Linked DNA regions of Diceros bicornis minor. The protein of the gene in region 1 purifies or fractionates together with the protein of each later gene. This does not show direct contact. Links are inferred from orthologs where the notes say so. Each region holds a gene or a part of one and is shown in the gene's direction. Other genes may lie near its edges. The genes, in order: LARP7, CCNT2, RPL11 and ZC3HAV1.

The links.
Region 2: the proteins of LARP7 (region 1) and CCNT2 purify together in Homo sapiens (co-immunoprecipitation; 3 studies listed by BioGRID and IntAct, with this or other methods). This does not show direct contact. The link is inferred for Diceros bicornis minor from reciprocal best matches to the Homo sapiens genes LARP7 and CCNT2.
Region 3: the proteins of LARP7 (region 1) and RPL11 purify together in Homo sapiens (affinity purification with mass spectrometry; 3 studies listed by BioGRID and IntAct, with this or other methods). This does not show direct contact. The link is inferred for Diceros bicornis minor from reciprocal best matches to the Homo sapiens genes LARP7 and RPL11.
Region 4: the proteins of LARP7 (region 1) and ZC3HAV1 purify together in Homo sapiens (affinity purification with mass spectrometry; 3 studies listed by BioGRID and IntAct, with this or other methods). This does not show direct contact. The link is inferred for Diceros bicornis minor from reciprocal best matches to the Homo sapiens genes LARP7 and ZC3HAV1.

What each region holds. Positions count from the first base shown.
Region 1 is NC_080750.1:7,542,025-7,549,960, forward strand, and holds the start of LARP7 (la-related protein 7), read left to right. Parts: upstream 1-4,904; 5' UTR 4,905-5,299; coding exon 5,300-5,305; intron 5,306-7,936. Other genes in the region: protein ZGRF1, read right to left, coding at 295-315. UniProt on the Homo sapiens protein: RNA-binding protein that specifically binds distinct small nuclear RNA (snRNAs) and regulates their processing and function.
Region 2 is NC_080749.1:20,538,012-20,545,140, forward strand, and holds the start of CCNT2 (cyclin-T2), read left to right. Parts: upstream 1-4,124; 5' UTR 4,125-4,148; coding exon 4,149-4,306; intron 4,307-5,153; coding exon 5,154-5,235; intron 5,236-7,129. UniProt on the Homo sapiens protein: Regulatory subunit of the cyclin-dependent kinase pair (CDK9/cyclin T) complex, also called positive transcription elongation factor B (P-TEFB), which is proposed to facilitate the transition from abortive to production elongation by phosphorylating the CTD (carboxy-terminal domain) of the large subunit of RNA polymerase II (RNAP II).
Region 3 is NC_080752.1:40,127,238-40,134,802, forward strand, and holds the start of RPL11 (large ribosomal subunit protein uL5), read left to right. Parts: upstream 1-4,481; 5' UTR 4,482-4,496; coding exon 4,497-4,502; intron 4,503-5,254; coding exon 5,255-5,405; intron 5,406-6,684; coding exon 6,685-6,791; intron 6,792-7,176; coding exon 7,177-7,308; intron 7,309-7,565. Other genes in the region: elongation factor 1-alpha, somatic form-like, read left to right, coding at 566-800, 2,104-2,225.
Region 4 is NC_080742.1:86,916,935-86,925,089, reverse strand, and holds the start of ZC3HAV1 (zinc finger CCCH-type antiviral protein 1), read left to right. Parts: upstream 1-5,084; 5' UTR 5,085-5,146; coding exon 5,147-5,454; intron 5,455-8,155.

The sequences.
Region 1 (7,936 bases):
GTGCCAAAAGACTTTGTATAACAAAAGCAAATAGTAGGCAAGAGATACGGTTGCCAGATAAAATACAGGGCAATATTTGAGACAGATATACTTAAACTAAAAATTATTCACTGTTTATCTGAAACTCAAATTTAACTGAGTGTCCTACTTTTAGGTTTCAGGTGTTTTTTTTATTTTGTTTTGTTCTGTTTTGTTTTTGGCTAAATCTGGCAACCCTAGCAAGACATTTATGAAATGCGGAAAGAAGGAAGGAAGGAAGAAAAGAGGAAATAAGCAAAAACTGGAAAGACTTACAATAAATTCTCGGCTCTCCATTGTTTCTTCTGAACTTATAAACCAGTCAGGTCCAGAAAATAATCAGTAGTTATTCAACTATTTATGCTACCTAAAATGAAAAATGACAAGGACTATTCAACCCCTACGAAAAGAATAAATATCAAATACAATTTTTCCCCACAAACTTTTTTTTTTCCGTAAGGAAGAGTCGCCCTAAGCTAACATCTATTGCCAATCTTCCTCTTTTCACGTGAGGAAGATGCACCCTGAACTAACATCTATGCCAGTCCTCCTCTATTTTGTATGTGGGTAGCTGCCACAGAATGGCCGCTGACAAGCGGTATAGGTCCGCACCCAGGAACCAAACCCGGACCACTGAAGAGAGTGGCACTGAACTTAACCACTAGGACACGGGGCCAGCCCCCCCCAACAAACTCTTGACCAGAGAGAGGAATCTAAGAGTTCCAAGTTCCATGTAACCAAGGGAAACAGAGGTATAATGAAATTATCTGCCCCCGAGGACATATGAAAAGAGTGACACCACACTGTGGAAAAAGAATTTGCTAGGTAGAGAAAACCAAGTAAAATATACAAAATAATTAGCACTCGCAAGCATTTTTCCAAGTGCCATAATATATATCAGAAAATATGATTCCCCCTCCCCTCCATGTTTGGTTCCTTATAGAAAGAGCTTCAATTTTTAAAGTTTTTTGAATTGCTATGGCCACCACAAGATGGCCCCCTTGCGTTTTAAATTTTTCCTTTTACATCTTAGAGTCAATATACCACAGTATCTAGGACCAAATATACATTATAATACTTCCGCAAGGAAAAATCTCTTCAACATCGTTGCCATGAGTACTGTAGTTATCCTATGCCATTGGATAAAATTGTTATTGTGGGGGCCGCCACCGTGGCTTAGCGGTTAAGAGTGTGCTCTGCTACTGGCGGCCCAGGTTCGGATCCCCGGCGGGCACCAACGCACTGCTTCTCCGGCCATGCTGAGGCCGCATCCCACATACAGCAACTAGAAGGATGTGCAACTATGACATACAACTACCTACTGGGGCTTTGGGGAATAAAAAAAAAGGAGGAGGATTGGCAATAGATGTTAACTCAGAGCCGGTCTTCCTCAGCAAAAAGAGGAGGATTAGCATGGATGTTAGCTCAGGGCTGATCTTCCTCACACACACAAAAAAAATTGTTATTGTGGGCAATTTTGGAAATCTAAAATCACTGATGGTGACTTGAAGAAGTAAACAGAAATACCAAAGGAAATTATTACTTTATCCCTAAAGAAGTGGTTCCAAAGGTATGATCCCTGCACCAACAGCATCAGCATCACCTGGGAACTAGTTAGAAATTCAAATTCTTGGGTCCCACCCCTGACCTATTAAATCAGGGCTAGTAGTCTGTTTTAACAAGCCTTGTAGGTGACAGGGATACACGCTCGAGTTTGAGAAGATGGCCCTAAAAGACCTGGGGGATTCAATAAAGCTATAATTTGCAGTTCTGGATTCAATTTCTCCTTGATACATATAAAATATATAAAATAGGCTACCTACATATTATATATAAATTACAAATATTTATTTAGTACTTACTATGTGCCAGACATTGTGCTAGGCTGAAATACTAAAATGAACGAAATATTATCCCTAATCTCAAGGAATTTTCAGTATAGCAGGGTGATAAACAGTAATTACAATAAAATATGACAGGAATAAGCACAGGAGGGGCACCCAACTCGGTCTAGGGCATTCCTGAAGGATGTAATGTTTGAGCTGGACACTGAAATAACCATTAACCAAGGGAAGATGCCAGGGAATTATTTCCAAATATGAGTCAATATGTACAAAGGCCTGTGGAAGACAGAGCAAGGCGTGATCAAGAAACTCTCAGTAGTACGGCTAAGAGGTTGAGTGTAACGTAGTGAGACAGGAGACTGAAAAAGTGAGCAATAACAGGATTCAGAGGGCCTTCTATGTTAGGCTGAGTTGTCTGGACTTTCTACAAAGACAGTAGGAAGCCACGGCAAGATGTTAAGAATGAGATTACATTATCTGACTTGGGGTTTTACAAAGATTGCTCCAGCTGCTGTGTGGAGAAAGGATGGGGTAAGAAGTAGGCAAATGAGATATGAATTAATGCCCCACAACATAGTTCACAGGACAGGACCCAGACCTACAGAGGCACTGCCTTTCAGAAATATAACTCCCATATCCTATATCCCTCCCCTCCAGCCCACAGAAATTGTCAGACGCCTAATGAATGCCAAGAAGATAACAGAGAGGTCCAGAGAAACACACCATTCACTGCTGCTTTTAAAGCAACTTGCTCCCAGCCACTGAACGGGTTGGACATCCTATGTATGTAGATGAGACTACATGGTGTAGACACAGTGCTGGGCATGTGGCAGTTATTAATCTTAGATCCCTTTAACAATAGCTATCATTTATTCTGTGCAATTATATGCTAGACAGTGTTAAAATGCTGCAAACGCTCACAACCTTATGGTATAGATACTATTTTTCATATTCATTTTACAAAGAAGAAAACTAAGGCACGTAATAGGTAAGTAAGTTGCCCAAGATCATAAAGTAAACAAATGGAAGATTCAGAATTCAAAACTAAGCAGCCTAAACTCTGATGCTCATACTCACAAATAGTACATTATACGACAATTTATTGAGTACCTACTATGTCAGGCAGGAATTGGGACTAGATACTTCACATATAATATTCATCAGTCTCATAATCCTGAAGAGTAGATATTATCACCACAATTTACAGATTAGGAATCCAGTATTTATTAGTTTAGAATTACTTATATGCTACTTAGGAATTGCAAAATAAATTCCCCATTGTTTTCCTAAATTAGAGATATTACTTGTGGGATTTACTTAAAAGGAACTGAGAAGGTCCAAACTCTCATAAATGGTAAATTAGATTATAGGATTAAACCTCAAAAAAAAAAAAAAAGGTTAGCTGGATTTAGAAGAGCCCTAATTTCCACTTTCAAAGGAAAGTCAACACTCCTTTCTTACAACTAAACAGGAAAAATGGTTTTAGCCAACAGCATCATATATTTAAGTGAGGTGCAAGGATAAAACATTTTCTGAAAGTCTTCATCTGTCCACATCTGTCAAACAATTCAAGTACTGACCCATCTCTGCAGGGTGAGTTTAGTGCCCAAAGAAGTTTTTAAAGTGGTGTGGAGATGCTCTGTGGCAATGATATAAGTACAGACATACATAAATGCCTACACACACATATATACACATACATTATTATGCTGCTTTATACATTTATATATAAAATTCGGTGCTTTCACTAAACTAGGAGCCATTCTTCCTGTTACGTATGACGAGATGTTTTTGGTCCTTTTGTTTTGGAACAAGCAGGATCTCTCGAATCCCAAAATGGTTCACAGATTTAAAAGCTGCAGAGGCACGGACCCAACACCGTGTTAGAAAACCATTCAGTCCAAATAACCAAAGAAGAAGCCCACACTTCATCTGCCAAGATTCTAACTACCAGGATCCTGTGTAACCAAATGACAGTGAAGACTTGACCCTTTGTCAGTCCTGAAAACAAGGAGCAAAACCCTCTCTGGTCCTCACCCGTACGCGGGAACGGCAGAGCAGGGGCTGGGAAGAGCCGTGAGGACGCGGAACCAGCTATGACAGGGAGTCCGACCAAGCCGTGACTGTCACCACCCAATCCTGGCTCCACACAGCACCCTCCGGTCCGCTTCCGGCCGAGCAGATTCTCTGGTCCCCTCGCCCCAAATCAGCTTCGCCGCCTGTCGCTCAAATCCCGGCGCCTACCCACCCTCACGCCCCGGAAACCCCGGGAATCAGTTCACTTCACCGTCCATTGCACGAAATCCACTTTCGAATTTTTCCCGCGAAAGGCTGTGACGTCATTAGCCCGGGACCGCACCAGACCAGGACCCCATACTTAGCCCGCCCACCAGAGCCCTCGTCAGAACCGCCGTTCTCAAACCGCCAATCAAATTCTTCCCTAGCTGCGAGCCTCCTTGGGCGGGCGCGTTCTGCGATGCCCCGCCCCCCGAGGCAGCCCACGCCTGTGACGTAAGAGACGGCGCGCCGCCCCTGGGCCCGTCTTCTGCGACGGGAAGCGGAGAACGGTGTCGCTCCTCTTATGACGCAGAGACGACCAGGACCGTAAGGATCGGGAGACGGAAAGAGCTCAAGGACGCAGTCTCTGGCCCTGTATTTTGGGGGCTGAACGGAGTAAGTTCAAGTGGGCCATAGGGTTGCCCAGGTCGGGTGAGGTCTAAATTCCCCTCAGTCCTTTTTCATGCAGTCCATTCTATCCTCTGTAGGCCCTCTCACCCCGCCCCCTCCAACTCACCCGTCAGTTGGCGTGCCCTGGTTCTCTGTGCGCACGCGCAGAAGGCCTCTGGCAGCCCTTGTAGTTCCAGTTGTCAGCGATTGGGGGCGCGCGTTGTCCGGCGCTGGAAGTTTGGGGTCCGCCCCGCCCTGGCGGCGTCCGTGCGGAGGGACGGGTGCTGAGAGGGGCAGAAGTCAAAATGGAAGTAGCCTTGCTTCGCAGCTTTGCCGCTTGGTGGCCAAAGAATAGCGAATGTGAGGACTTGTGTTTTAAAATGAAATCATTTCCTTCTTCAGGACTCTAGTGTTTGTCAGCAAAGAGTTGAAAGTCCAGTTGTGGAAGGGAGCTAACAAATAAGTGCTAAATACGGTGTACGGAGTGCGTCAATAGCCGTGCTTCAGGGAAGCGGATGAGGAGGCGGTTAATCGGGGGAGATGCGGTGGAAGGCTCCGGAGAGGAAGAGGCCGTGAGCCGGGGCCTTGAGATTGAGTGGGGTTTATAAGGCAAGGCAGACAGGAGTCGTTCAGAGCAAACGCACAGAGGGGCGAAAGCGTTCGGGTACCTTTGCATAGGTGGCTGTGACTGGAGCAGTGGTTCTTAACCTTCTTGGCACACCATTTCTTTTAAAAACGTGATAAAAGCTGTGGCTGAGCCTCCCCGGAAAATGCTGGTACATGTCAAAACATTTTGCATATAATTTTGTTAGGAAAAATTGTGAAAGACTTTGAAATGGCCAAGAAAAAAAACTACTGGGTGTCTTGGGTAGCTCCCTCTTCCAGGTTATCTCTGCCTGTCGTTGTCATTGAGTTATTTCACAATTGTGTCAGTTGTAGCCAACGATAATAATGGAAATTAGTCTTGCAGTTATTTTTGCCATTGTTGCCCTGACCGGTTGTGCGTTTATTAACAAATTCATTTCGCCGTTCCTGATAGCTTATATTTGTGTGTCTGGTTTTTTAATTCTCCTGTGAACTGATTTTTAACACTTAGCTAGTTCCCTAATGAATTACTTAAATAAGATTTTTGACATGTATTCATTTTATATTTATACAATAGTCGTGATTTTACTTTTCCTTTAAAATTTATCTTTTAACAATTTCATGGGATTCACAAGAATTCTTGAAACCCACCCAAAATTCCATGGACTTCAGGTTAAGAATTCCTGAGTCAGAACATAGAATGCGTGGTGACAGTTTGCAAGAGGTTCTACCGAAAGGTAGGCAACGTGGGAGTCACACATACCTGAGCTTCCTTACCCAGCCAGCTTTGCTCAAGTCACTTAACCTTTGACCCTCTATAAAAAGAAGTTGGAAGAAACAACCTAGTGGGCTTGTGAGGATTTCAAGCAAGGTATATAAAGTGACTGACATTGTTACACAGTAACTTGTTTTCTGTGTTTAAAAGCTCTGTTTAGAAGCTAGTTAGACTTCACTGGTTCATTTAACAGTTTTTTAAAAATACATATTATGTTACAAGAAGGGGCTGGGAATGTTTAGTGTTGAAAGTTTTGACATCACAGTCGCAAAATTAAATCTGTCTTGTAGACAAGTTGCACAGCTTTTGTGAAGGATGGAGGACTTCTAGAATAGTTTATAAACTGTTCTAAACTGACTGGTAAATGATAAAATGATAATAATGGTTACATAAATATTTTTTAAGATTGCAAATTGCTGATATGTGTTATGCACACTAGGTAAGAGTTTCTGAAGTTACTTCCCCAAGCCACAAAAATAATCCCTAGGAGAAGGAATGAAGGAGAATCTCTGGACTGAGATATGAGAATCCTGGGAGTAGTCTGGTTTCTAGGAGAACTGTGCTGTTCTGTGCTTATGCAGGTCTGTCCGCTACTTCTTTAGGTGGTATTTTCTGACAAGGAAAAGAATTGGAGAGCTGGTAGTCTGCCGTTTATAATCTGGTGTTTTCAGAAGGGAAAGTTAGCAGTGGACCCTGCTGTAGTGATAATCGTAGGCCACATTTGTATTTTGTTTATAATTCTACCCTCTTACAAAAGAACTTGAAATGCTTAACACTTTATAGTTTATAAGATCCTTTTAAATACATTATTTATTTAATTCACCAAATGCCTGGGTCGTGACAAGCTAAAGTTCCTGTCCTCATAGTGTTTACTTTCTAGTGAAGTAGACAGACAGTAAAACTGTAATTCTGGGTAATGATGAGAGAATACAAGGATAGAAAGTGGTGACTGGAGGAGTGGGTAGGGGTAAGGTTGGCAGGGAGGAAATATTTTAGGTTGGGTAGAAAAGAAAGGCTCGTAGAGAAAATGACATTTTCAAAGACCTGAATGAACAAGAACATAATCCCTATAGATGCTGCAGGAAAGGTAAAGACAGTGGCGAGAGCAAAGGCCTGGAGATGGGAAGGCCTTAGCGTGTTTTAAGGAACAGAAAGATGGGGCGTTGTAGTTGGAGTGCTCGTGCCGGAAAGAATTTTAAGAGATGAAGTTAGGGAGATATCCCGAGGCCAGATTGAATAGGGCCTAGTAGCCCACAGTAAGAATTTTATTCTGAGGGTGCTAAGAAACCTTTGAAGGATTTTGTGCAAGAGATTGCCATGTTCTGATTTACATATTTAAATTATTATTCTGGCTGCTATCTGGAGAAATGATAATGGAACAAGAGTATAAACTAGTATACATGAGGATGCTCTTGCAGTAGTTCGGGCAAGACACAGAGCTCGGACCAGGTGGTTGTGATGGAAGAAATGAGAAGTATTCCTATTCAAGATATGTTGTATAAAGTCAGAGCTCATAGAAATGCTAATGAATTGGCTGTAGGGTGTGAGGAAAAGAAGAATTAAGGAGGATTTCAAGGTTTTTGCCCTCTCGGCAATTTTTTAATTGGTATTTTCGCAGATCAGGAAAACTAGGCAAAAAAAGGTCTGTTAAAATTTGAGAGTTTAATGTTTGCCATTTTAAACTTGAGATTTACTTTAGGTGAACAAATGGAGCTGTCAAATGGACAGTCGAATATTGGAATGGGGAGCTACTGAGAGAAGTCGGGGCTGGAGAACGTAGATGGGTGACACATCAGCGTGGAGCCGAGGAGCTGAAAGCCAGGGACCCTCAGCAAGGATGGGTGTGTCGATAAGAAGGGCGCCCAGGGCTGAATGCAATCCTAGGCAGCATGTGAAGGTAGAGCAGAGTAGGAGGGTCCCGAAAAAGAAATTGAGAAGGAGGAAAACTCTCCTGGAAGCCAGGTGAAGAAAAATGTTTTCCAGGAAGGAGTTATCAACTGCAGATGCTGCTGAGAGGTCAAGCAGCTGGGGGAGATCTTTGTTTTCA
Region 2 (7,129 bases), on another chromosome or scaffold:
ATTAGTACATTCACGCATTGCTTAACAACAGGGATATGTTCTGATAAATTTGTCCTTAGGAAAACTCGTCACTGTGCAAATATCATAGAGTGTACTTAAACAAACCTGATGGTATAGTCTACTACACACGTAGGCTATATGATACTAATTTTACGGGACCACTGTCGGACATAGTCTGTCGTTGACCAAAACGTCATTGTGTGGCACAAGACTGCACTTTTTCAAAATATACCCCAGAAAAAAAAAAATCCCATCACCATCAGATTCCAAAGGACAACCATTCACAGCCATCCAAGCATTTCTCTTCCTTGTACAGTACCCTTCCCCACATTTTTGATCTCTCCTAAAAAGTAAGCCAGCTCTGATTCAACTCAATTTATATTACCCAACCAGAATACTTAAACCTATGTTCAAGGTAATTACTTAAGATTAACTTAATTAAAATAAATACCCACTTATTTTGTTTAACTTAGAGACTATTCTGAGGCTTTTTCCCAATCAAAATTGAACAAAAGTGAATGGAAGTTGCCATTTCTACACAACACTGCTCACAACCTAATAAAAAATTTAAAGTTTATTTTTGAAAAGTCAATACATGAACATGTTAGAAAAGTTCAAAACGATCAAATTCAACCTATGTCTCCCAGAAGGAACTAATTTTATCTGGTTTCTTTGTGTGTATTCTTGCAAAGATAGTCTATGATTATAAAAGTATTCAAATGTACATATTCCTTTGTTCATTTTACCCAAACAGTAGCATCTTGTTTTTTTTTCCTGCTTAATACCTTAGTGGTCATTCCACATGTAAGCTGCTGCCTTCTTTTTGTAACAGTCTATTTTAAGTTGATAACTTAAATATGGACACACTCTAAAGCTCTACATTTTACTCCCTCCTCCGTCACCACATTTTATGTTTTGGATGTCACAATTTACTTCTTTTTATCTTGTGTATCCATCAACAAATTATTGTAGTCATAGTTATTTTTACTACTCTTGTCTTCTAATCTTCATACTAGCTTTATAAGTGGTTAACCCACCACCTTTACAACATTAGATTATTCTGATTTTTACTACATATTTACTCTTACCAGTGAGATTTATACTTTTACATGTTTCCCTTTTACTAACTAGTGCCCTTTCATTTCAGCTTAAATAATTTCTTTTAACATTTCTTGTAAGGCTGGTCTAGTGGTGATGAACTCCTTTAGCTTTTATTTGTCTGGAACATTCTTTCTTTCTCCAATTTATGAAGGACAACTTTTTCAGATAGACTATTCTTGGTTGGCAGTTTTTTCTTTCAGCACTTTGATGCCTTCTTGTTTTTAATAGCTGAATAATATTTCATCACATAGACATACCATAATCATCCAATCCTCAATTCATGGACAGTCATGCTTCCAATCTTTTGCAATTATAAATTGCTACTGAGAATATCCTTATGACCTATGATGTGGAACATCTTTTCACATGCTTATTTGCCATCTGTATATCTTCTTTGTGAGATGTCTGTTCAAATCTTTTGCCTATTTTTAAATTGTATTCTTTGTTTTCTTCTTATTGAGTTTTAAGAGTTCTCTGCATATTTTGGATACAAGTCTTTTATCAGATATGTGTTTTGCAAAGATTTTCTTCTCGTATTTTCACTCTCTTAACAGTGTCTTCTGCAGAGCAGAGGTCTTTAATTTTTGCTTATGAAGTCCAACTTAATTTTTTCTTTCATAGATCATGCTGTTGCTGTTCTACCTAAAAACTCATTGCCAGACACAAGGTCACCTAGATTTTCTCCTATGTTATCTTCTAGAAGTTTTATAGTTTCGCATTTTACATTTAGGGCTATGATCCATTCACAGTTAATTTTTGTGAAAAGTGTAAGGTCTGTGTCTAGATTGTTTTTTGATTTTTTTTTTTGCATATGGGTGTCCAGTTGTTCTAGTACCATTAGTTGAAAAACTATCCTTTCTCAATTCAATTGCCTCTGCGCCTTTGTCAAAGATCAGTTGACTATATTTGTGCAGATCTGTTTCTGAGATCTCTATTCTGTCCCATTGATCTATTGTGTCTATTCATTTGCCAATATATGCTGTCGTTGCCAACACATACTGTAGCTTTGAGGTTAGGTAGTGTCAGTCTAATTTCTTTGGTACCATGTTGGCTATCTTGGGTCTTTTGCCTTTCCATATAAACTTTAGACTCAATTTGTCAATATCTATAAAACAACTTGCTAAAATTTTGATAGGGATTGCATTGAATCTGTAGATCAAATTGGGAAGAACTGACATCTAACCATATTGTTTTCTGATCCATGAACCCAAAATATCCTTCCATTTATATCTTCTTTGATTTCCTTAAACAGAGTTTCGTAGTTTTCTACATATAGATCCCGTATATATTTTAGATTCATACCTAAGTATTACTTTTTGTAAACGGTATTGTGTTAATTTCAATTGTACATTACTGATATATAGGAAAACAATTGACTCGTATATTAATCTTATGTCTTACAATCCTGCTATAATCACGTATTAGTTTTGGTTTTTTAATACTTGGAGATTTTCTACATAAACAATTGTCATCTGTGAACAAAGTTAGTTTTATTTCTTCCAGCCCTATCTGTTCACTTTTTGTTTCCTTTTCTTACTGCATTAGCAAGGAATTCCAGTACAATATTGAAAAGAATGGCGAGAAGGGACATCCTTGCCTTAGCAGGAAGGCTTCTAGTTTCTCACCATTAAGTATGATGCTAGCTGTAGGGTTTTTATAAATGTTCTTTATTAAGTAGAGGAAGTGCCTCTGTATTACTAAGTTGCTTCAAGTTTTTATTATGACAGTGTTGGAGGTAGACACTTTATAAACGTTGCTTTAAATCAATCTATCCTGGAACTTCCAAGCAGCATAAGATGTGAGGCAAGCAAGGTAGGTAAGAAATGAAGTTTAGACAGTTGTTCATAATAACTGCCTACTGCAACAAAATCAATATCTCAGTACTGTAGTGTAATGGGGACAGGCAGAGCCCCTAAACGATGACAAAAGCCTGGAGCTTTAATCAGGAACTCACTTAAAAGTAGTATCTGTTGCGTTTTTTTAAAAAAAAAAAAGTATGTCTGCCTATACTCTGTAGTCTTTGGCAAATAGTTAAAATTTAAAACTTAGTCGGCTCAGACCCAGAGACTGACTCCCAGAGTGGAGCTCTGCGGTATTTTCTTGCAGGGACGGGAGAAGGGGTTAATCAACAAGTGTGTGCGCGGTTACTGTATTAAATACTAAAGATAAATTTTTTACTCAGTTCCTCTTTACTATCTGCTTCTCCTTAACCTTCTCTTTTAAATCATAGCCTGGTTTAAAAACACACTACCGATAGGGACTAGAAATTCAGTTCTAGCTACTAATTGGGTAAGTAACCTTAACCTCTAGCAAGTAACCTTAACAAATAAACCCACGGTCTGCCCAGTTGTGGGATTCAAACATGATAACGTAGGAAAAAAGCACTTAAGTGCGGCACAAACATGGAACGTTCCTATGCACTCTTTCCCAGGAAGGTCCTTCCCAGAGCTGCCCGTTGGGCGGAGGCTGTTCCTCAAGGACACGGGAGCCGAAAACCACGACACTGCGCGGCGAACCAACAGCAGGGAAAAATGGAAGCTGTGGTGTGAGACAAAACAGGAAGGATTTTCTCTTTTTAAAGGGCCGCCAGACTCCCAGCCCAAGAACTCGCCCGGATTTCAGAGCCCACGCCCAACCCACGGCGCAGCCGCGTGCCCCCCTCTCGCGGGACCCGACCCCAGGCCAGCCTCTTCCCTCCTCTCCTCCCCGCCCCTTCGCCCCGCCAATCCTAGGTCCGGCATGCACCGCGCCGACCTTTTCCTTCCGAGACGACCCCCACCTTCGGCGCCTCCAAATGACAAACTGCGCGGGGCATTGTGGTCCCGTGCGCGAGAGCGACGCAGGGGTCCGGAAAAAGAAAGCAAAAGACTAGGGCGAGCCGGGAGGGCGTTCCCCCGCGCATGCGCATGGGCGGCGGCGGGGGTGAAAAGGGGCGGTGCGTCGTCTACGGCGAGCGGAGTGGGGCGGGGTCGTGCGGCCTTGGCGGGGAGTCCGCGAGCCGGGAGGGGAGGGGGGAGGGTGAGGGAGCGGGCGGAGGAGGAAGTGTCATGGCGTCGGGCCGTGGAGCTTCTTCTCGCTGGTTCTTTACTCGGGAACAGCTGGAGAACACGCCGAGCCGCCGCTGCGGAGTAGAGGCGGATAAAGAGCTCTCGTACCGCCAGCAGGCGGCCAACCTCATCCAGGACATGGGACAGCGTCTCAATGTGTATCCTTTCCTATTCTTGGCCCTCCTCCGCTCACGCCCTGTCCTCTTCACTACTCGCCCGGTCGCCGGGCCTGGTGCCCCGTGAACATGGCGCCGCCACCTCGGCCTTCCTGGGCTTTGGCCACGCCGTAAGGGAAGGCAGGCTCGGGCTCGGGAGGCCGCGAGCGGCCAGCGGAGGAGGGGAGGAGGAGAGGCGTCCGGGAATGCGGGCTGGGAGGCTGCGTTGTGTAATCTGTTTGGGGCCGCGCGTGGTGGCGGCGGGGGTTGGGAGTGCCGCCCAGGCGAGAGGGGGAATCTTAGGGATTATCGCAGAAGAGAGTCGGCTGCTTCGACTTCCCCTCGTCCGAGAAGGGGTTGAGAGGTAGGAGGGTTCGCGGTGCTGAAAGGCGTTAAGTGTGCTCCGCAGCCTTTCCCCGCGCTGCTCGCGGGTTTGATGGCGGTTCTCTTGTACCTTGGGAGCGCCCTGGACGGAGGGCTTTTATGTTCTTGGCGTGGTTTTGTATGGGTGTGCGCGCGCGCGTTGCAACTGTGTGATGTTGAGTTGAGTCAGTCGTAGCCATTGATAAAGCCTTCCTGGGCTCGCTTAATAGCAATATTAGAGTGGAATGCTCAGCAGTTACTATTATTACTGTTTGTTTGGCGTCGAGCCTTCTCTCTCCCTCGGCACCCTCCGTCACAGCCCTGCGGGTTTTCGGGGTTTGTTTTTGTTTTGTTTTGTTAACAGTTTTTGGTTTGGGTTTGAGTTGGAAGCATTGAAAAAAAACTGTAGGTTGGGAGTTTTCCATCAAAATTATTTTGGAAATGAGGTCTTGTTCTTCTCAGATATTTCCTAAATGATACGTTCCAGCTCTCAGCTTACAATAAACACTGCGATTGTTTATATGCACAGATTTTATATGCACCATTCTTTCACCAAATTCAATAGAAATGTAAGTACTATTTTATTGTCTGTTTTTACTACCACAAAATCTTAAGGTAAATCGATACGCAGAAAGAAGTTAGTTGATCATTGATTTTATTGTTGGATTTAGTGTTGTAAGTTAACAGTGAAGGTAATACGCATGATAAATTTTTTGATTCAAATGCGGGGTTGTTGGTTGGTTGGTTTATTAATTTGTGATGACAGGCTGCTAGGCGCTATGTTAGACTCTGCCAGGTCTTTTGAGCTAAAAGATAAAAGAAACGTTTCTCTACTCGGAATTATTACATCAGTGTTGATTTAAGTTTTTCATTTAAATTAATCAAACTTTTGAATAATTTCAAACTAATGTACAGTGTAATTTAGGCAAGCCTAGTCATTCTGTTGTGTATCTTAATCTTATTCGACTTAAATTGTTTCAAATATTGTGAATTGGGCTTAATTTAATTGCAGTATTCTTTTGAAATGACCCTTTGAAAGAGTTGAATGTTCAGCAGAAATATTTCATTTGCTAACACAATTTCTTAAGATGTCAGACGTTCCTGTTGATCACACTTCAGCATTAATTGTCTACTTAAATTTTTGGTGATTCAAATGTCAAATCTTGCCTCAAACATGCTATGTCAGAGTTTGAGTATGTATATATAGTTTTGAAGTAAAACTTACCCTCGAATACTAAGGTACTGATTTTGAACATAACCTGTAAATGTTGACATACTGAGTAGCGACGTTCAGTTGAAATTTTTATTTTAAGTTACGAAAGATGTAACTTTGTTCTTTTCACAGTAACATGCTGTAACATATTGTCTTGCATCTGTTAACAAAGAAAATTGTGTATTTAGAAATATTTAACCCCATCTTAATTCTCATTATATTTTTGGCTCTTTTTATCACAGCTATTTTTAGAATGCAATTCTGAAAGGTGTGTGTAGAAAAATAGACTGTGTAAGACTATGCTATTTGTGGATTGTCATTAGGACCTTTTTGCTAAGAAAACAGTCTTTGAGAAGGTCCTTGAAATATTTTCTTGGATTGGACGGAAAAGCTTCATGGTTTAGATTGATTCCTATTTTAATCTTTTCTGATCATAATTCTGATTTAGTTTATCAGATTAGCATGTAAGTTTGTCTTGAACAATATGTATTTTTGTATACGTTTTGGTCTCTTGTGATCTCCATTCCTTCTACTCTTTCTCTTTTAAATCTGTGTGGTTTTTGCTTTATTTCCATTTTCCTAGTTATTTCTTGTGCACAGAACTTAGGTCAATGATAGTGTTATGGAAGAGAGAGGAAGCCTTTTTGGTAATAACATTTAGATTGAAGGAATGAAATTTAAATTGTCTCCAAAGGAAGTAGTGAACTAATGGATACTAATATAAATGTGGCTTTCCCTAAGCAGCCCTTGAAAATGTTGGTCAAATCACAGGTCAGAATAGTTCTGGAAATTCTTGATGTGGGTACAGATGTCCCATTTACAGATGTCCCTGTAGAAAAGTAAGAATCAGGCTTACTTTTCTACTTCTGGTAAATGATCTCACCACAAAACTTCATTTTTGTTTTTGAACCCTCCCTCCTTCATAATTTGTCTCTATGGCCTGGTTGGTGTACTTTAAAACAAATTATCTTATTTTCAGCTAAAATTCACAGTTTTAACTTTAAATTGACTGGTGAAGCCCAGATTGCTTGGATTCTAACTTTCACTATTTTATTTAAATGCCATCATTCAATAAAAAAACCAGAATATTAATTTTTAATACCCTACTTAGTGTCTTATGTGTGTATGAAGGTCAACTTCACCATTTTACATTGAGTCATTATTAGGATAATTGAAATCTGCTGTTAATTTCTACTTTGAAAAGGAACCTTGTACCCTTCATATCTAACCTTTGTCGTCTTTACCTTTGC
Region 3 (7,565 bases), on another chromosome or scaffold:
TAGGCCTCTCTCCAGTAGTTCTGATTCAATAGGTCTCTGTGGAAACTGGGAATCTGTATGTTTGGAGCTCTCAGGTGTTTTCTTGGCCCAGAGTTAGAATATGAAGCCCTTTCTTAATGCAGTGTCTGACACATTCTTAGATGCATGTGGAGGCTGGTGCTACCTGGCAGTGATCTTGGGAGCATTAAATGAGGTGACGTATAAGACAGCTGTCCTGGGGCTGCTTAACAAGTTAGGTAGCTGCTATTATTATAATCCATTTTTCTAAATGGCGGGGAGAAGCAGTACATGTAATGACATCTATGTGTGTAGGTTTTAGTATTACTCATGCTCAGCTCGGCCTCTTCCTATGAAATTTCAGGTAAGTTACTCAGGCTCCCTGCTGTGAAAATTAAATTGGGATGCATGAGATTTGCTTTGCATGGAACTTGGTCTACCCTATACATGTTCACTCGTTCCCTATAATTTACAGCGTGTCCAAGGCACCTGACGGCTTAGCTGGTTAGGGCCACCTCCTTTGAAGGACGGTTGGCCAATGCCCTCCCCATCCTACCCTGCATTCCAGGTGATCATTCTCAACCATCCCGGCAGCATTGCAGCTGGCTACTCGCCAGTCCTGGACTGCCACACAGCCCACATCGCCTGCAAGTTTGCAGAGCTGAGAGAGAAGATCGACCGGCGCTCAGGCAAGAAGCTGGAAGACAGCCCCAAAGCCCTGAAGTCTGGGGACTCGGCCATCGTCCAGATGATCCCGGGCAAGCCCATGTGCGTGGAGAGCTTCTCCGAGTTCCCACCCCTTGGTAAGGCCCAACAGCACCTGACTGCCAGGGCTGCCCCTTCCTCCTCCTGGCTCCAGGGAGCCAGTTGACCAATGTGTCACACCTGAGCCAGGTAGTGGAACCTGGTCAGAAGGATCTGAGTGCCAAGTTAGCAGGGCCCAGAAAGGGAAAGCAGCTTGCCTAGTGACACACGGCAAGGCAGGGGCCACTTTAGAGCCTTGCTACTCAAAGTGTGGTCCGTGGACCAGGCATCGCCTGGGAGTGGGTTAGGAATGCAGAATCTCAGGCTCCATCCAGACCTGCTGAACTCAGATCTGCGTTTTAACAAGACCCCATGTAACTGGGATGCACATCAGTGTGAGAAGCACTGACGGAGAGGAGGGGAATAGAGCAGAGATTAGTAGGGACTTTCTTTTTCCTTCCTTCTCTCTATTGAGTAGCTTTCAAACCTGGTGGATTACCAGAACCATTCACGGAGACCATTAAACCCAGAGGCTCAGGCCCTGATAGACTTACTTGGTCAAGGCTGCAATGTAGGGGTCTGTTTCTTAGATTACCCAAGTAAGCTATGCATGGCTGGGCTTCAACCATTAACCTAGATGGTTCTGAACTCAAATATATAGGGAGTAGGCACTTATATGAAGGGCTAGATGTTAGATATTTACAAATAAACAAGTCCCTGCCCTCAGGGTCTCCCAGTTAATGGGGAAGGAGGTAAATTTCAAAAGGCTAATTTTAGAGGTGGGCCAAAGAGGCTGCTACACGAATTTTGCAATGCTGGGTTAGTTCCTCCTATCCCTTCCAAAAATCCTGAGGCTTGAAGCCAGGTGCCAAAGCCTTTCCCTCCACAGTTTGAAGTTAGGGGAGCATTCAAGAACCCCCAGAAGCAACTGCCAGATTCACAGTTGAATGTAAATGAGATCCATCCACTGGGCTGTAATGGGCACAGAGAATGTGCTGGTTGCCTGGAGGCTGGGGGCATTAGTACAGTAGGGTGGTGGGTGCACCGAAGCAAAGCTCTCCTGTGACCTTTATTTATGCAAGCAGGACAGTGAAGTGGCTGAGAATATAAGCACTGGTGTGAGACTTCTGGGTTTTCAACCATTAAAACCAGGTGACCTGCAACTTCTGTGCCTCAGTTTTCTTATCTGTAAAAGAGAGAACAATAATGCGATTTACTGAGAGAGCTGTTGGGAGAATTAATGAGCCTATAAGTAGATCTCAAAGTATCACTTACATGGCTCACTTGACTTCCTGTGCAGGTGTCCCATAGCTTACGCCCTGGCAGTGTTCCCCACTTGTTTCTCCGCATCCTGTGTCCTAGGTCGCTTCGCTGTGCGTGACATGAGGCAGACGGTGGCTGTCGGGGTCATCAAGGCTGTGGAGAAAAAAGCAGCGTCTGGTGGCAGAGTCACCAAGTCAGCCGTGAAAGCGGCCAGGAAGTGAGTGGTGACAGCTCCTTCGGGCCCCTGCAGGCCACAGGCAGCCCACACGGAGCCACACCTGGGAAAGAGCGGGTCAAGGAGAAGCCTTGGACTTGCTCTTCTCTTGCCTGAACTGTCGTAAATGTGCCCCTGCTCACGCAGGTTTCCCTTTGTGGATGAGTTTGAGGTCTGGGAATAAAGTACAGCACGTCTTTTTGCCTCTGCCTCTGCTGACCTTGGCGTCTTGAGCCAGGAGGACACAGGTCGGGTGTTGGGTCTGCTTCTGCCCCTCTGCCTGCCTTCTGGGGGCCTGACTGGTGCAAGCAGCAGAGAGCTGGGGTCACAGGGAGGAAGAGGTGTAGAGGGGAAACCTTTGGCCCGGGCCTTGTTCATCAGCTCCTAGAACAGGACTGGGGCTCTGGTCTCAGACTGCCTGATTTAAACAGTGTCTATAAAAGTCACTAAACTTCTGTGTAGCCTTGTCTGCTCAGCCGTAAAACGGGAAAACAGTAACAGTATCTGCCTCCACAGGGATGTTGAAGATTAAGTGAACCAGTAGGACCTGCTGGACATGATAAACTAGCTATTAATTAGCTACTCTAGTTGACACGGTGTGGGCGCTGGAACCAAGAGAGAGCTATCCTGAGGAAGTTCTGTCGGAGAAAAGTTAGGGAAGGGAAGGGAATGAGACTGAGTTTGGAGAATGAGCTCTGTGTTATATCTTTGTAGGTACGTGTTTCCCTCAGGTTATTTTCTGCACTTTGACAATTTCAGAGTTACAGATAAATTGCAAGAAGTCCCATGTATCCTTCACCTAGATTCCCCAAATCTTAAATTTACCACATTTGCTTTATCCTTTTCACTCTAAATATACATTTTTTTTTCTGAACCATTTGAGAGTAAGCTGCAGACATAATGCCCGTTTACCCCCAATACTGAATGTGTATTTTTTAAACCCAAGGGCATTCTTATATACCCAAGGTCAAGTAATCAGAATGAGGGCATTAAATTAACATGGGTACATTTCTGAAGTCTACAGACCTGTCCCAATAACATACTTGATAGCAAAAGAAAATCCAGGATCATGTGTTGCATTCAATTGTCTTATCTCTTTAGCACAAGTTTTGAAGCAGCTCCTCTGTTGGGTCTGGCCTTCCCAGAGGTCTGGCTGGGGGCCCAGCTCTAGGCTAGCTGGTGGTGCTCTATGGAGGAGGCTCAAAGGAGGGGTCTTTTGTCTTCGCCCTCCTCCATCAGCCTAGCTTCCCAGAAGTGCCCTTTTGTCCCTACAGGGAGGGCCTGGGGGCTTCTGCCTCCCCTATGATGATAAGAGAAGGGGATTACAGCAGCAGAAGGAAGCGGCTTGGCTCCTTTTCCACCAAGGCCCTGTATGTTCTCCTTTTCCCATTTGTTCCTGTGAAAGGAACTGGCTGACTCAAGGCCGGCTTCTACCTGGGATGCGGATCCTGGCACTCCCTTGGGTCCTGCTGCTGAGGATTTAGTGCAAACCAGAGAGCCCTATTGTTGTCCGAGACTGGAGTCCTTGTCTGTCAGAGACTAATCTGCCAGCCACCTTTGTGCCTGCAGGATAACCATCTCTTGATGACATACCATATGTAACATTTTGTGGGGAGGGGTGTTGCTTGGATAGAGTGCATTTATATTAACAACAAGAGTAACCACTTATTGTGGGCTTATTATGTGCTCTACATGATTACCTCATTTAATTTTCACAACAATCTCATGTGATATGAGTACCTAATTTAAAGATGAAGAAAACTGCGGCTGAAAGAGGTTTAATTAGTAATCTGCCCCAGGTCACATAGCTATGAGCTAGCCAAGACAGGACCACATCTGCCTGTCTTCATAGCTCGGGATTCTTAAACCACCACTCAGTTCTAACTGTATAAGTTCCATTTGTTTACACTGTTACAGAATAAATTATTTTGCTTTATAGTTTGCATAATTGAGTTAATGTAGTTCTGCCTGTTTCATCACGCAAGAACCACCAAGTCCTGAGACTGTGGGAGGGAAGGGCGTCAATGGGCACTGGAAGCTCGAGGAAATGCCAGTTCAGGGAGCTTTAAACACTATTTTTGGAAAACCCCGGTCCCAGTCTTCAGCTGCGTCGCCTGCAGTTGCTAGCAGTATCCACGCGGGGGCGCCGGCGCCGCGCTGCTCCAGACGCGCCTCTCTTCCTCTCCCTCATCTCTCTGGTGAGCTTGGGATAAAAGCCCGCCTCCTGGCCCATGAGGCCCTGGGCCGGAAGCTTCACTTTCTCTTCCTGTTTCCCACCATGGCGGTAAGTAGCTGAGGCTGGGGTTTGCTTCCCTTCATCCATTTCCATCCACGGCCCGCCGAGCCCGCGGGGGCTGCGGAGCCCGTGGCCCGAGGACAACGGACTCCGCAGTGCTGGCCGTGCCGAACCTGGCATAGCCATGTGGCCTGAGGGCGCGGACCTGGACCCTGTCGTCCTTTCTCCCGCCCTCCTAGGAGCGGGCTCGGGGCCGCCGCCCGCCGGGCTCAGAAGCGCGGCTCGTAGGCTGCAGCGAGGGCGAGTGGAGCGCACGGAGGGGTGTGGGACACGGGGCCCGGACCTGTTTCCGTTCCCGCGGGCTGGAGACGCGCGCGGTGCGCGGGACTCTCAGCCGCTTCCTCCGCTTCGGGAGGGCGCCGCCAAGCTGCCCTAGAACGGGGTGGGCGACGTCGCACCACGTGCTTGCTGAGCAGTTACGTGCTGTTTCTGCCCCCCTCCCCCGTCGGCCTTCTGCGAGGCGCGCTCCCGTCACCCTGCACGTTGAGTCCCTTGGGGTTCGTCCTCAGTGTCCAGGTGCCTGTCCTGTTTCTGCTCCCCCATCCTTCAGTGGGGGAGGAGAAACAAGATCCCGAGCTGTCGTCTTGACGCCTCGCAGACAGACGCGGTGGTACCTTGTTCTTAACTCCTCGGCCTTTGTTGCGATTCGGGATGGGCAGACGCCAGTAGGCCGTGTAGGAAAATGCTGGGCTGGCGGTGGTGGGGTTGAGGTTGTTGACTCCTGCGCTTCCCTGTTGCAGCAGGATCAAGGTGAGAAGGAGAACCCCATGCGGGAGCTTCGCATCCGCAAGCTCTGCCTCAACATCTGCGTGGGGGAGAGTGGGGACAGACTGACGCGGGCAGCCAAGGTGCTGGAACAGCTCACCGGCCAGACCCCGGTGTTCTCCAAGGGTGAGTGGGGGCCGGCGCGGGGGCACTGGCCGCTCTGCCCGCCTGGGTGTTTCTTAACTGCTTCGCTGTCAAGCCTGTTGAGTGTCCGTTTTGAAAGTGTCAAAGTCGGCACCCTTTAAAAGCATTGCCTTCCTGAGCTACCCCAGAAGTATCTTTTCAAGATTGGGTGTGGCGTTGGAATACCAGATTTTACTAGCCCAAGTAAAGATTTTCCAGGTACGGGGGATGAGGTGGAGTGGAAATGGTGGGAGTGCAGTGCATGGTGTTAGGTCTGATAAGCAGTTAGGCTTACACAGGCTGCGTTAGGAGCAGGGCTGTGTACCCTGACTAACTGGGTTCAAATACTGGCTCCACCACTTGCTCGTCTGTGACTTTGGCCTCTGTGGACTTAAGCTGCATACTTGCACAAAAGGAAAGATGATGCTTGCTTTATAAGATTGTGGAGAACATTGTGGAGAGAATTGTGGAATGAGTTAGTGTATATGAAATACCTGCTACATATCAAGCACAATGTAGGCGTTGTTATTGTTTTGTTACTTTTTTGTTTTTCAAGTTTCATTGAGGCCGGCCCGGTGGTGTAGCGGTTAAGTGCGCGCGCTCCGCTGCGGCGGCGCGGGGTTCGGATCCCAGGCGCGCACCGACGCACTGCTTGTCGGGCCATGCTGTGGTGGCGTTTCATATAAAGTGGAGGAAGATGGGTACGGATGTTAGCCCAGGGCCAGTCTTCCTCAGCAAAAAGAGAGGATTGGCAGATGTTAGCTCAGTTTGTGATCTTCCTCACACACACAAAAAAAGTTTCATTGTTTTAGGATAGTGGAATATGACAAGTTTCTTGGGTTCAGATCCTGCCAGTTATTATCAACTCTGATCTTGGGCAAGTGAATCTCGCACAATCTCATCTGTAAAATGGGGATAACGGTACAGTAAGGTTTTAGCAAATATTAGCTGTTACCAATGTTTTGTTTTCTTTAGAACACAGTTATCTTTTTTTCTGGGGACCTATTCTGGTTGTGAACTTGCTGTTCCTGAGACTTAGACATTGTGACTTGGAGCTCTTAATTGCTTGAGGATGGCTGAATGACTTGGAGGTTGGAAAATCACTTTCCTCTGTTAAACAGATGAGACCAGTATAACAGATGTAGGTGACACTGGTTAGAACAGCACCATTTAGAGTAGATTGATACTTAATGTCTCTTTGGAGTTGTGGGGATGATGTTGTGGGGAAGAGGTGAGTGCAGTGGGAGTGTGACAACACCTGACTCCTTGTTACCCCCTGCAGCCAGATACACCGTCAGATCCTTTGGCATCAGGAGAAATGAGAAGATTGCCGTCCACTGCACAGTCCGTGGGGCCAAGGCAGAGGAAATCTTGGAGAAAGGTCTAAAGGTGAGGCTGATCCCATCGTGGGGTGATACTGGAGTGCCAGCTTAACACATGTAGATAATTATAGTGGCAGTAGTTACACAATGTACTGTCTTTGGTGGTCTGATTTTTTTTTTTTTTTTTAAAGTTCTGAAGGGCTTTTCCTGCACTCAGCAGGGTTAACCTGTATTTGATCCTTTCTCTGGGTTTTTCCCTGCCCTTTGAAAGTTGGGAGAGTTCTATAAAATCCATAGTTGGGATGTGATTGGTGTACTGGGGAAATCAGATTTTGTTCCTGGCCCAGTTGCGTCGAATTAGATTTCTGGGTGCTGAGTGTTGCAGGCTAAACTAATTATTTGGGGGAAATTTGAGTTGACAAGGAGTGTGATGGCTGCATGTTTCTCTTCAGGTGCGAGAGTATGAGTTAAGAAAAAATAACTTCTCAGATACTGGAAACTTTGGTTTTGGAATTCAAGAACACATCGATCTGGGGATCAAATATGACCCGAGCATTGGTATCTACGGCCTGGACTTCTACGTGGTATGAATATTCAGTCTTTTCCACTCCTGGTCTGTGAGGACAGTAGAATCGCCTTTATTTCATATGTGCTATCTTGATGTTCAAATGTTGGACTGAAGCTTTGAGTGTTGTCTGCTTTTGTCTTCTCCCCCTTGGGAAGATGTGCCTTGTTTGTGGCAGGTGTAGGGAGGGATCCAGCACTGAACTAGGTAGATAAGATCTTGCTTTTGTGAAGCTTACAGTCTAAGCTCTAGGAAGCACTGATAAGGTTAAAGGTA
Region 4 (8,155 bases), on another chromosome or scaffold:
TCACTAAGAAGTTCAGTGGTGCTTCCCCTGCAGGACATAACTGATGGAAGGAGGGGCTGTCCTGGAACCTGGCTCAGTAATAGCAATGGGGATGATAGGCCCTGATGCAATAGACACCATGTGATGGCCCTTTCCTGCAGAAGCCAGGGCTTGTAATGACTAAGTCAGAGTGGCAGCCAGGGGGCCTGACCTGTAAAGAGCTGTAGGGATTGTGAATAGAACAGAGTTTCCCTAGGAGGAAAATAGATGGGTAGCACACAAAATACTGTTTAACATGTGTAATCTAAAAAGAACAAGAATTAATAAACAGGACAATGAGGAGGATGGTCACCCCAATAAAAAGTCACAATTCCTGGCCCGCTTTCTGTACCTGAACCAGTGTTCGGACTCAGAACCCAGTGACTGAAGAGGTGGCCAGGTCCTCAGGGAGAAGGACCTGCAACATGATGGCAAGAATGAGCTAGAATTGTTCCTCCAATCCTTCCCCAGGGAGATCTACAACATTTACGTGGATGACAGAAGAGAGTACCCAGACATTTTGATGACTGTTGGGCACAAGGTCAGAGGTCACCAATACTCTGCCACCTGAAGCATCTTCGTGGCTCCCATGTTAGAGTGGGAGCAAATGGAGGCCTGATTGAGGTTGAGCTTACAATGGGTCCCCTGGGTCCATGAACCCACTGGTTGTCATTCCTCTAACCCCAAAATGTATAGTTGGCATTGACATACTTGGAAATCAGGCTAACCCTCCATTGCATCCTTGTGATCCTTCCCTACTGTGATAGCTCTCACTTGTTAATGTAGCCAGCCTTTGTCACAGACCCCTTTCCCCTCATTGCTGCATGATGGGTAACTGAACAAAGAGGCTATGGTGACAGAGATGGAGGCAATGCATGGACTATCATTTACCAAAACGAATATAGGTACTACCACCTCTGAATGTCCAATCTACCAGCCATAATGACCGATGCTAAGCTCTATTCCTTAAGGAGACCAATAGGCTACTTGGTGACCAGGTGACTACACTGGGCTCCTTTTGTCCTGGAAGGGCCAGCAGTTTGCTCTCACTGGAATAGACAGATTCCAGGTATGGGGTTGCCTTTCCTGCCTGCAGGACCTCCATAGCACCAATCTCTAGGGACTTAAAGATCGCCTGATCCACAGACATGGAATCCCACATAACATAGCATCCTAACAGAGGACTCTCTTCGTGGCACAGGAAATGGGGGAGTGGGCCCATGAACATGGGATCCGCTGGTCATATCACACACCTCACGACCCAGAAGCTACTGGATAGACAAATATTGGAATGGCCAGTTAAAGATGCAGCTCAAGATCCAGCATGAAGGCAATACACTGCAGTGATGACATCTCCTCCAGGACATCAAGGGATATGACTTCAATCAGACAACTTAGTGTCTGATTATGGTGCTGTGTCCCCAACAGAAAGAGTACGTGAGTCTTGAAACAATGGGCGGAAGCATGAGTGGCCCCCTTAGCATCATTCCAATGACCCACTGGGCTTCCCTGTCCCCACAACTCTGGGCTTTGCAGAGTTAGAGGTCTTGGTCTCCAAAAGGAGCACATTTTTGCCTGGGGACACAGCAAAGATCCCACTGGACTACAACTTATGGCTGCCACCAGGCACTTTGGCTTCCTAATGGTCAGAGACTAGCAGGTAAGGCAAGGGAACGCCGTATTATCAGAGGTAACTGACTTGGTCAGCAGGAGGAGATAGGGCCGCTGTTAGACAGGGACTGGGGAGGAATATGTACGGACTCTGGTGACCTATTTGGGTGCCAGTTGGTACTCTTTTGCCCAACTGTGACTGTGAATAGACATAAGAGCAGAAAGCCTGGTCTGAGATGATGCTCAGACCCCTTAGGAATGAGGATTTAGGGTGCCCACTCAGGTAAGCTACTGAGACCAGGTGAGGTGGTAGCCGAGGGTGAGGGGAATTAGAATGGATAGTGGTGGACAGATATGATGAGGACCAGCTGTGATCTTGCAACCAATTGCAGTGACAGGGGCTATAGTTCATCCTATTAACTTCTCTAAGTTTTCTTTCAGGAAGAGCAGGGCCCATCAGAGCCCTGAAGGAGCTGTTCCCTGAATACTGATGGGGAAATAGATCCATGTGGCACAAAGGGTGCACGATAGCAGACATAATGGGTTACTCAGATCCTCCTTCAAGCCAGGGCTTGCTGCCCAGCTGCAAGGAGTATGTTTAGCTGATAGTCTCCAGCTTTAGCTCCTTCAGGATCCGTCCCAGTGTTTCAGCTGAAGTCACACATTTCTTCATGGCCCCCGCCAATGACGAAGCAAGGCAGGGTACAAGGGCCTAGGCCTTTCTGCCCAAGGCTAGACTTGCTCCCTGTCGGGCTGGCAGAGACTGTCAGGTCTACATCGCCGCCTGACAGCTCCCACAGATCAATCCTGCTTCTTTCCTTGACTTTCTCTGGTGTTACATCCCCGGAAATCTTCTGTATCCTTAACTCCATATCAGTATCTGCTTCCTGGAGAACCCAACCTGTGACGATACAAATTTTAAAATTTCCCAAAATGTCTGCTTTTTCCCTTCCCACAACCCCTTGCATCGTTTTTCATGGCCTCGAATTGAGGGGATTTTATATCTCTATTCCTAACCACTCTAACCAAACCGTACTCCTTTTCCAATCTCCTATATACCCATTGCAGCATTTAACCCCTGATTTCCTTATGTTTTAATGTTTTTTCATGTCTTCCCAAACACAAGCTCCTTGAGTACAGGGACTATTTCTTAAATTTCGACATGTTCAGCGTAACTACCATAAAGGCCACGCAGAAGATACTATGCTGAATTTAATCGATTAGACAACAAAAGCTCAGTCCCTGGGAACCTGTCAGACCACAAATAAGGCCAAGTGAATTGAAAGGTAACTATAGGGGCCAGCCCCCTGGCTTAGCCATTAAGTGCCCCAGCGCCGCTGCTGGCGGCGCTGGGTTCAGATCCCTGCGCACACCTACACACCGCTTCTCCGGCCATTCTGAGGCCAAGTCCCACATACGGCAACTAGAAGGATGTGCAACTATGACATACAACTATCTACTGGGGCTTTGGGGGGAGAAAAAGGAGGAGGATTGGCAATAGATGTTACCTCAGAGCTCGTCTTCCTCAGCAAAAAGAGGAGGATTGGCATGGATGTTAGCTCAGGGCTGATCTTCCTCACCAAAAAAAAAAAAAAAAGGCAACTGTAGAAGAAATTGCTAGAGGGAACAAGAAGTCAGATGATCCTGTGCAGGCCCCACGTTTGGCTGGTGTTCATTACTAAAGTACTCTATTCCCGAGCCAACAGTTCATCTACCTCGAATTACCAAACAGGAGAATTCCCATTAGTCATTTTGAAGAATTTCTAGTTTGACAACCAAATTCTATCATTTTTAAAAAAGGTTTATCTCTGGGCCAGCCCTGTGGCTTGGTGGTTAAGTGCGCGCGCTGCGATGCTGGTGGCCCCGGTTCGGATCCCGGTTGCGCATCGAGGCACCACTTCTCTGTCCATCCTGGGGCTGAGTCCCACATACAGCAACTAGAAGGATGTGCAGCTGTGACATACAACTATCTACTGGGGCTTTGGGGGGAAAAAATGAAATAAATAAAATCTTTAAAAAAAAAAAAAAAGGTTTATTTCTTATCTGATCAGTGACGCACTTCTTTTACCTGGGAGTGTTGGGAGGAAAAACACTCTTCCAACTTCCAACTTTTTCCTCTTCCAATTTGGGTCCAGTGATTGGAGGCCTGCAAATTAACTGACAATAGACAGATTAACAGGAGAAAAGACAAGATTTGTTCACACATTGGGAGGGGGGAGGTTCCAGTAATGGAAAACTCCTGAAATAGCCCCAAGTAACTTTATATATCTCAATTTAACAAAAGGGGTAGTGGGGTTTAGGACTTCAATGGGAGAGTATGGAAGGTTCTATTGGGCTTTTTGATGCTAATAGAAATGGGCAGTCTGTCTCCAAGGCAGCTGAATGAACAGGAAACTCTCTTGGAAAAGGGTTAATGGTAGCTGTATTTTCTGGAGGCTCTGCTTTAGCAGATTAAGAGAAGTTCAGATAAAATTTCTTTCTGCATCATCTGTAGCTCAAATGTTTTCACTTTAAAATAATCTTTATACCAACTCTTGGGGCCTACGTGGGTCCCCGCAGGGGGAAAAGGTCTTGTCCAAATACCTAAAGAGAACCTATCTAAAATCTTGGGATGTGTCTAAGCCTGCTCGTCTGTGAGTACTTGCCACCAGGGACTAAGCGGTGTCCGGGACACCGCTGTTAGTGATAGACACAGGCAAGAATGTGTCAAGACGGGGTTCTTCAGAAAGCTTGTGAGAAGGCAAAAAGGAAGGAGAGTAATAATCGCTGTTCTTTAGGAGGGCATGGGAGAAAGTGTACGTTGGTCCTGGCCAAACGGACCACGATCTGGGGTCTGGGGGCCAGATTTGGGGAACCTCGGGTAGCATCCGGGCTCCAGCTCGATGGCTGTGCGTGTTTACTCGTTACTTCCTCAAGTACAGAGTGAGGATAATATCTAACTCGTGGAGTTGTTGTGAAGATTCACCAATACCGCCCAGCACGGAGCAAGTGCGCACTCAGGTCTATTCGTTCAGGGGATGTGTGGGGTGGAGAAAGAGGGCTCCTCAAGGGGGTTCCCAAGACTCGCGTCATTCGCCACTTTCAGCTGGTTTATAAAAACTCTGCCAGCGCCCAGAGATCATTTTTAGTTTCTCTTCCTTCGAAAGAATCCTCGCGGCGCTGAGCTGGGGCACCTCACCCCCGCGCAGCCTGGAACTGAGAGGGAGCTGTCCGGGTGGTGCGGGCAGATTTGCCCGCGCTTGTTCGCTTTCATTCCATTCGGTTGCCGTCGCGATAGATTTTAAATCTGACACAGGGACCGGGTCGGTGCGATCTGGCCTCTTGACCCAGAGCCGAGTGTGAAACCGAAAGCGCTGCGCTCAGCTAACGGCGATGGAGAGTGCGCGCTGGCTCGCCCCGGGCGCGCCCAGCCGGAGCACCGCCCGCGCCCGCCCCCGCCCCCGCCCCCGGGGACTCTTGTAAGTTTCGATTCTCCCCGGAGCAGCCCCGCGGCGCAGCCAGCCCAGCGTAGAGCGCCATGGCGGACCCGGAGGTGTGCTGCTTCATCACCAAAATCTTGTGCGCCCACGGGGGCCGCATGTCCCTGGACGCGCTACTCAACGAGATCGCGCTCCGCGAGGCGCAGCTCTGCGAGGTGCTGGAGGCGGCCGGGCCCGATCGCTTCGTGGTGTTGGAGACCGGCGGCAAGGCCGGGGTCACCCGGTCAGTGGTGGCTACCACTCGAGCCCGGGTCTGCCGTCGCAAGTTCTGCCAGAGACCCTGTGAAAACCTGCACCTCTGCAAGCTCAACCTGCTGGACCGGTGCCACTATTCGCAGTCGGATCGGTAAGTGCGCTGAGACGGAGGGGCGGCTTCCCGGGGTCCCGGTCTGGGAGGACTGCCGCGACTGCTGCTCCTCGAGGGGCGCGCCCTCGCGGGGACCTCGCGCCCGACAGCCTCTTCCTCCAGCTCCTCACTTCTCTGCTCCCCTTGGAGAGCCCCTGCTAGGCCCGCGCTTCTACTCTTGGCAGTTCCCTTTCCTCCAATGCTTCTAGACCTTTCCTCGAATATGGCTAACGCGATATTGCCCGGGTGAAGACTACGCTTAACTCCCACCCCCATGAGAATAAAGTACTTTTGGGCAAGTCAGGGCCTAGAGAATTTGGAGGCAGGTTTGGGAACAAAGGAATATGCCTCTACTCTCTGGAGTCTTGAGTCTTTCCCTCTCTGTTAGCTTCGTCCCTAGGCGTGTTGCGGTCCTCCCAGCACCCCAGCCGCGTTCGGCACCCGGATCCGTCTCCACCGCACTGAGCCGGGGATCTCTGCTTGGCCCTCCATTCCTCTCGTTATCACTTTTCTGATATCTGAAGCTAGTCCGCAGCCCCTGACCAGGAGAGTCCTCTTCAAAGTTGCCAATGATGGATGGTTCTCACCCAGCGCTCCTTTCCCGTGGTGTCACTGCGGTGGCCCGAACCGTTGACGGGCTCTTGGGACCACTTGGAAACAGTGCAGCTTACCTCTCAGGCAGCTGCTTCTGTTGCCACTTGTTCTTTTTTGCCAGATAAATATAGGTGTATCCCAAGGTTTGAGTTAAGCCTTTTGACCTGTCTTCCAAGTCTCTCCCTAAGAGAGCTCACTCCCTTGGGTTCAGCTGTCACATATACAAAGACGGCTTCCATATGTACATCCGCTGCCCACATCTTCCTACTGACTCTAGGTTCTTCATCTCCCAGGGTCTAAGGAGCATCTGTACCTGAATATCCTGACAACACGAAGCAAATTCATCTTGTTTCCCCCAGGGCAGGCTCTCTGACAGTCCCCTCAACCCCTTCTTCATCCTTCACAAACTTGAAGTGGTGTCCTAGTGTCCAAAATGGTGGTCATCAAACTTTTGATCCTGCACTTGTTAGCAAAAAACTTTACTTACCCCCAATATATGTGTAATAAAACATACAAAAGACAGGTAATTTAAATGGATGAGGTAGGTGAGATTAATATTTTTTTTAAATGTATTTGTTTAGGGCAAAACTGTAAAATTTTTAAAAAGTGCTTGAGTATGCTCCGTTATTTAAAAAAATATTTGTTGAATATGTTGTGAGGCACCAATCTGAAAGTCTGTTTCTGAGTTTCGGATTATGTGTGTAGAGGGAGTCATCTAAGTCACAACAACAGATGAAATCAGGAAGGAGGAAAGGAGGGGAGGGTGGAGGATACAAAGAAAAGGAAGGAACATTCTAGCTCACTATACTGAATAGCAACAGAAGTGGAAGGCTTTGTTATCTCTTTTTCTGTTCTGTTATGAAAAATTATTCACCAACTAGTGTTGACTTTTAGTTTTAAATACATATGCTTCCTATGTTTTAATTTTTTACTATGGATATATTCAAAATATACTAAAGTAGAGAAATAGAATGATGAACCTTCATGTACCCATCATTTCACTTCATCGGTTTCCAAAAACCGTGGCCAATCTTGTTTCATTTATTGGCCCCTTCCCATCCCTGTCCCCAACTCCAAAGTGTTATTTTAAACCAAATTCCAGAGATCATTTGCTTTGTAAATGCTTAAGTATCTCTAGAGGATAAGAACTCTATTTTATTAACATAACAGCAGTACGATGATCACATTTTTTTACAATTACAATTTTAATATCATCTAGTATCCAGTTGGTGTTCAAATTTCCCTGATTGTTTTATAATCTGACTTGTGGTTTTTCAGGAAAAATCCTACACAGGCATAATCTATAATTGTTTCGATATGTTACATATCCAATATACTTAGAAACTTTGTTTCAATCTCTTACACACAATATGTTTAGAAACCTAAGTTTTTTGTTTTATGAATTTTATTATGGTATTTTTTTTTTGCCTGATTTGAAACATCAAAACCATTGAAACTCATAAATTGGGTTGTTAACCTCCACTTTTCTATATTTTAAGAGTGTGTATAATATAGGGATAATTTGGTATGTGCAAGTTTGGATGGATCCTCTGGGGAATTCATTAAAGTCTTATTTTTAAATTTTTTTTAGTGAAGTGATAAATTCTTATTTCTTACATTTACTAATCTAGTCACATTTTTAATTTCCTTTTACATCACTTTTGAATTTGAGAATTAGAAATTTTTGATCCATTAATGTACATTGTTTCCTCATAATAAAGACTCTTGGGAGATTTTTTTTTTTTTTGCCTGAAAGCCTAGAAAATGGTTTTTTTCCCCAAGTATGTTTTTAAAATAGTCTCCCCTTAGCAACTTATAAAACCTTCTCTTCTAAAACTTGGCGGTGTGGGAATGTAAGGACCTTTTTTGTAGGTTACATGTTAATGGAATCTGTTGACCAATTGATACCCATCTTGAGATTACCGCTCAATTTGATAAACTGTTCTCTGCCTGAGGACAGTTTGCATTTTGCTGGACTTAGAAAATTTCCTCTCTAGTGCTATTATTCATACATAGGATTTCTCCTGTTTATTCTATAGTTCTCTTTTCTCTTACATTACTTTTATTTTTATTTTTTTAAATTAATTAATTAGGGGCTGGTCCCCTG